2 linked regions of the Ovis aries genome follow. The protein of the gene in region 1 purifies or fractionates together with the protein of each later gene. This does not show direct contact. Links are inferred from orthologs where the notes say so. Each region holds a gene or a part of one and is shown in the gene's direction. Other genes may lie near its edges.

Region 1 (2,893 bases):
CCTGGGATGAGCCAGTGTGCACCGTGAACATCCGCTGTTGACGTGGTGGTTCTTCTCGGGCAGCCTGTTCATATCACTGAGGATTTCCTTATTGCTTCCCATGTGCCACCCTGACCTTGGGCTTGAGGCAGGTTGTGAATGTATCAGATATGTCAGGCTCCTCTGGGAACTTAACTCCCCCCCAAGGTCAAATGTTAATCAGTTGCTATTCAGTTTGACCCCTAAAATGGTCAAGATCTCATGCCTGTAGGCAATGGTGATAACATGTGCTTCTATCTGTTAGCTGCTGTGAAGTCCCTGTTAATGTGGCACTGCCTGCTTCTGTGCCTTCCTGCCACTGTCTTCCCTTGAGCTCCACGGAGAGAGGCCCAGCCTTCCTGGCTTCTCTGCTTGAGTCAAATGGAGCCCTTCCCAGCTCTTGCCCTTGAAGCCTGATCCAGTATCCACTTGGAGCCAGTTGCTAAAGTCTGCAAGCTTTGTGGTATAAGTCTTTACTCACTCATAGGTCCGTGATCTTGAGACTTATTACTCTGTGTCACTTAAGTTCTACTTTCTTGACTATTTACACTGAGTACAATGTACAGTAGTGTTCATTTTTTAAAAAATAGCCTCCCCACTTTAACTTGAGAAATTATATATAACTCATAGATATTTTGGTAATGGTTATGTTATATTGGGCACATAGTCATATAGTTTGATTCTCAGTATTGATTGGAGATTTATTTAAACTCACAAATAAAAGGAGTTAAAAACAAGTGCAGTGACTGAGGGTCTCCTTTGCTTTTCATGGGCTTCCTAAAACAGGAAATGGAGCAGACGAGAAGTGCTGTAGACGAAGACCGGAAAATGTACCTCCAGGCTGCTATAGTTCGTATCATGAAAGCGAGAAAAGTACTGCGGCATAACGCCCTTATTCAAGAGGTAAAAGGGGAAAGCCCTGAAGACTTCTTGGCAGAGAGTATGAGAATTAGGCATGTTTCTTTGTGAAGATGATACAGAAACCTGTGACTCCTGCATAGCATAAAGAAATGCTTTTTGTTTCTGAAAGAGAACAGCGCTCATAAATCCAGTATTAAATTCACTTTTAGATTTAGAGGTCTGAGCCTTGTGTCCAGTTATTGAAGGAGGTCGCCGGCATCCACCACTCACTCGTGCCTTGAATTCACACGTGTCTCCCGTTTGGTGGAGTACTGTGCTGGTCGCCGTGGGGTGCACACCAGCTCAGGACATGGCTTCTGCCCTTTGGGAGTTCAGTGTCATAAGGAAGAAATGCATTACTGAAGTAATGTGTCAGTAAATATAAAATTACACTAATGTGCAACAGAGAAAAGGGATATGGTTCAATGAGAGTGTACACAGGTCTTGACTCAGGGGGTGTTAGGGAAAGCTTTCTTGAGCAGGTATTCCTTCAGCTAAGAGCCAGAAGTTGTTTAGGGATTAAATGGAAGCTCGAGGGCGTGTATGAATAGTTAATTAGTTTGCGATTTGATTTAGTATGTTATTAGGTTTGGCTGTATCTGTGCCCTTCACCATTTAAATTCCTTCACCTCAACGTTAAGACTATTCCACATAGTTTGCATGAAAAGGTATTTTTGTGCATTGCAGCAGAGTTGAACGAAGTGCTCCTGGCGAGAAGAGCATTTTTACCATCCACCTCTCTCCCACAGGTGATTAGCCAGTCAAGAGCTCGGTTTAACCCTAGTATCAGCATGATTAAGAAGTGTATTGAAGTCCTGATAGACAAACAGTACATCGAACGCAGCCAGGCGTCCGCGGATGAGTACAGCTACGTCGCGTGAGGCGGCGCTCCTCCAGCGTCGGTGTGAGAAGGTCGTTGCCGTCAGCATCCGGTGTGTGCCCGTGGGAGAAGGCAGGCCTGTGCCTCCATAATTTGGTCATTTGGCAGACCCTGTTTCTCTGCTGTTTACAACATCACCAGTGCCACGTCATGAGCGTCAGAGAAGATGCCTAGAGATATTTCAAGCTCATGTCATTATGACATTTCTTAAAACTTTATTAAAAAAAGGATGAGTGAAGTATTGCTGAAATGTGGAAATCTGGCTGGGTACCATGCTTTTTCTCCCCTTCACGTTTGCAGTTGATGTGGTTTTTTTTTTTTTTTTTTTTTTAATGTATCTTAAAGGACATAAGATTAAAAAAAAAACCTAAATATTGTAATATGACAGATAACCTAATAATTGTATCTACATTAAAATGACAAACATGATATTGCTGCTTGTCAAATAAAAAAATAAAGAAATAGAATGCCTTTTTTATGTGGATGGAGTATCACAATACAATGATCAGAAATGTCCGTGAGTCCTTGTGTTCCTGTTTAAATCCTATGTGAAAACGTCTCAGTTATTGTTTCTGAATGCCTTTAGCATAAAGGATGCGTTCAGCATAAGTGATGCTTTCTTTTAATGGATTAGAACTACAGTGGATGTGGGCCTTGTGAGGAGTGAGGCTGTGGTTCTGTCTCGAGTTTCTGGTGGTGTCCTGCTGCAGCACAGAACTGTGAGCGAGGGGATTGCGGTGACCTTGTGTCTGGCTTAGAAAGAGCCGCCATTCCCACCCAGGCTGTGTTACTTCTCTCCACAGTGCATCAGTTCTAATGTCTGACTCCCATCTGTTCCTTCCCTCCCGCCTTCCTCGGGGTCGTAGGTCATCCTGCGGTCCCGGTGTCTGCCTGTGCGTTCCCCTCGTACCCCTGCCTGCCTGTTACTCCCACCTCCTATCAGTTTGACACTAGATTCGCTCCTACGTCACAGATACTCTTAGCAATGCATAACCTAAATACTTTATTTTTCTGTATAGTGCATTACACCAGGTGCCGCTTTTATTGACATGAAAGTTCATTATTTTGTTTATGTGTATCAACAGCAGTATTAGG
Region 2 (3,752 bases), on another chromosome or scaffold:
AGCAGACAGATTAAACATTAACTTTTCATTAAATATGTCGGTCACTGGAAGATGTCCATCATTGTTTCAGTGATTAAGGTTTTCTTGCCTGCCCTTTTATATGTAATATTGATAATTCTACCTAAACCATTTCCTTCTCTGTCTCCTAGATTGCAAGAAAATCTTCAAAATGGATGTTAAGAGCTAACAGGCATGAGCTTAGGATGTGTGATACTGTTCTAAATGCTTATGTGTGTATCAATTCATTTAAAACTCAAAACAGTCCTAGGAAGTAGGGACACCTCTTATTCCCCCCTCCATTTTATAACTAAGAAAAGTGTAAGGTTTTTCTAACAGGAAGGAAAGGTGGACAGAAGTGGCACCAAGACAGTGTGTGAGCCTGCTTTCTGAATCATCTCCGAATGCAGCCCTGTCCCTAGAGCAATGAGCATGTTTTCTGGTGTAGGAGAAATTATTGAGAACAGAGCCTACTAAGCCCAAGGATACCCTTGCCACTTTCCTATCTGCGTACAGGTAGAAATCTCCACCATCCCTTTTAAATTGACCTCATCTGCTCGGAGCCAGCCCGTATACTGGGCACTAGTACCAGGCATTGTGCAAGCCTAGGAAACGCTCTCCCCCGACATCCGTTTTACATGTGTGTGGAGGGAGGGAGGCACAGCCTGGCGCGTGAGCCAGTTCTCCAGAAGGGACGTTTGAGCTAGAATTTCTGGCATAATCGAGCCAGCGCTCGAAAACCTGGTGCTGAGCGTTGGAGGGGGAGTGTATCCTCTCCAAGAAGGAAAGCCTCATGGTGGAATGGCTGATACCTATCCTGGGCGCTCGGGGCCAGGACAAGCTGGCTGTTTCTTCTGATTAAAAGAGGAAGCAATAACTTTGCCTATGACTCCAAACACACTGGTTCGAACTTGGCAGTTAGGAATCCTATGCAGTTGTCTCACGCCACTCAGGGTGTATACGCGAGGAATTTTCACTTGGCTGGAGTGAACTCGCTCGGAGCCGCGCGTGCGCCTCTGATGGGGGTGGGGGCGCGCTGCGCGCGGACGCGGGGCGGGGGGCGGGGAGGAGGTCCCAGGGCGCCCTCCTTTCGCGGTCCCGTCGCGCTACCGGAGCGGACAGCTTCCGGCCGGTGCCTCGGGTCGCGTGGGCGGCAGACCTGTGACCGAGGAGGCCCGGCGGGGGCTACTTCATAGACGTCTTGTTCGTTAGGAGCAAAGGGCGCCTCCTGGAAGAGCGCGTGGAGGGCGCTCCCCGGGTGGAAAGACTCCTCGGGAGGAGTCGAGGGGCCGAGTCTGGGGGCCGCTTCCGCCAGCCCCGTAGGAGGAAAGAGGAGGGGCGGGCTGCTCAGGAGCAGCCTGGGCGGGCCGCCCGCGCTCGACGCAGGCGGGAGGAAGGGAGGGAGCGAGGGGCGAGCTTTGGGGAGCAGCATGGAGACCTCGGCTGACTTGCTGGCCGCCGCCGCCGCGCGGGGCCGGGCTGACGAGGTACGGGCACTGCTCGAGGCTGGAGCGTTGGCCAACGCGCCGAACCGTTACGGTCGAAGCGCGATTCAGGTGGGTCAGCAGGTCTGCCGCGGAAAGGTGGGCGGCTGGGTGGGTGGGTGGATGGCGAGAGGCTTTGGAGGACGAGGTCCGCCAGTGAGTCGGAACCAGGTAAGCGTTTCTTGGTAAAGGGGAGACTTTTCAGACCGAGTTCGGGATCGGAGACCTCTCGGCGACTCTCAGGGGGCTCAGGACGGCCGCGGAGCTGGCTGAGAAGGCGCGTGGGGTTCAGATCTCTAAAACGGTGTGAAGATCTAGAAGGGAGAACCTACGTGTGTTAATATAGACCGATATGCGAAATTGACGAACGTCTGGAGTACGAGTATAAAGACAGTAAGACATGCTGGACCACTTACTCCCGAACTTATAAAATTGTGAATGGAGCTGATCGACTTCTTTGTTGGGGGGGGAGGGGCGGTGAGAGGGAGATTTCAGTGGAAATCTACTGCTGTGTAAGTTGGAATAAAGGTCGATTGAAATTATTCAGAAGCAACCATATATCGTGTTTATTATTTTTTTTTAACCGAGTAAGGAACATATATGCTTGTTTAGGAAATAGACATACATGAAAAAAAAAATTAGTGCAATTATGCCTGAAATAATGCTGCCAATTTAGTTACCACTTGAGTGTCTCTTACCTTTTGGGGTATTTTAAACTTACTTGGTATACATTAATTTCCTGGGAAGTTTTCAGTTCCTCATAGTTTAAAAAATGTCATTTCTCCTCTCCCCACTCCAGTTTTGTATGTGTGAGGATGAGTTGTGAGTTCGTTTTTCTGTGTGTGTGTGTGTGTGTGTGTGTGTGTGTGTTTTGCCTTCACTAACTTCCTAAATCTGGGGCTAAAAATAAATTCTTCCTGGCAGTCACTCCAGTTTTATTCCAGGTTTCGACAACGATTTCTGATTCTGAAAAATAATATTTATATGAAATGTACACTGCAAAAACTCCAGCATAACAAGACAAAGGAAAAGTAACTCAACCTGGAACTTAACAAGTGATTTCACAAGCGAATCGTCCTTTCCTCAAACTATGCTACATAGAACAGATATATTTTATATACTTTTAGATACAAAAATAAAAATAAAATATCCTCAAATCTGAGATTATTTGGGATTTGAAATGTGGAGAGATTTGGAGATTAAAAGGTTGAATGGTTGTAGAAGAGAAGCATGAGTTCTTTTTTTAAAAAATGCATGCATGATTCATAATTGGATATCTCTAAAGTTTTGCCAGCAGTTTGCAGACTGGGTGTTACAGCCTTCTAGTTCTGAAAGATGTTATATTAGACTTTATTGTTTAAATACAAAAAGAAAGATAATTAATTTTAAATTATTTTTAAATAGGATAAGGGCATCGACAAAAGGGATATGATTTTAGTTTTGAACCCTAACCAAATTTGTGTTTAAAAATACTTAGTTTATAGAAAAATTTTAATGACTAAATTAAATTTATATCTTCAGTTTGACTTAAGTACCCTAGAAATATTCATTTGAATGATTTTCTTTTTGCTTTGGATTGCTACTATGATTTAAATATTATGTTACTTTTCATACTTTAATACTGTAGCATATAATAATACCTTTAACCAATTTAATGACTAAGACCAAGGACTTCATTTATCCAACCCATGTAATATATTTTCACCTGCATTATATACAAGCATGGAAGGAGACATACATATATATATATGAGCTCTGGCACTTATAGTAGAGTTTCCAAAAGATTATGGTGTCCTTGGGTGTGGCCCCTTTGTTTTGGAAATTAATTCATAATCCATGAGAAATCCAATAGTGTAAATTTCCCCAGTTTTTATTTTAAAAAATTCTTTCTTCTAATGCACTGTTAGTTTTCCTTTTTGTAGCTGCAAGTTGGTTCACTTAAATTTTCTCTGTGGTTTTTTTTTTTTTTTTAATTAAATCAGTTTCACTTTCTCTAGGATAGAACTCAACAAGCATAGTATAACTTGTTAAGATTCCTTGGTTTGAACAAATTAATTCAAGTTTAATACAGAACTCAACTAAAAATAAATAATTCCTCAATATAGTGTAGCTAATGTAACCAAATAATGGTTACCCTAAAAAAGAATGTTCTATCACCTCCACCCAATGTATAACACTCAAATTGCAAAGTTGCTGTGATTGTGAACAATATTTCAAAATTCCTCTTTGGTAATGCTCTTGTATCATCAAAGATTATTTAGGAACCAAATG

The links. The genes of interacting proteins can lie anywhere in the genome.
Region 2: the proteins of CUL2 (region 1) and cyclin-dependent kinase inhibitor 2A purify together in Homo sapiens (affinity purification with western blotting; 3 studies listed by BioGRID, with this or other methods). This does not show direct contact. The link is inferred for Ovis aries from reciprocal best matches to the Homo sapiens genes CUL2 and CDKN2A.

The regions. Positions count from the first base shown.
Region 1 is NC_056066.1:17,725,077-17,727,969, forward strand, and holds the end of CUL2 (cullin-2), read left to right. Parts: intron 1-804; coding exon 805-921; intron 922-1,667; coding exon 1,668-1,799; 3' UTR 1,800-2,314; downstream 2,315-2,893.
Region 2 is NC_056055.1:90,756,047-90,759,798, reverse strand, and holds the start of cyclin-dependent kinase inhibitor 2A, read left to right. Parts: upstream 1-1,098; 5' UTR 1,099-1,427; coding exon 1,428-1,553; intron 1,554-3,752. UniProt on the Homo sapiens protein: Acts as a negative regulator of the proliferation of normal cells by interacting strongly with CDK4 and CDK6. This inhibits their ability to interact with cyclins D and to phosphorylate the retinoblastoma protein.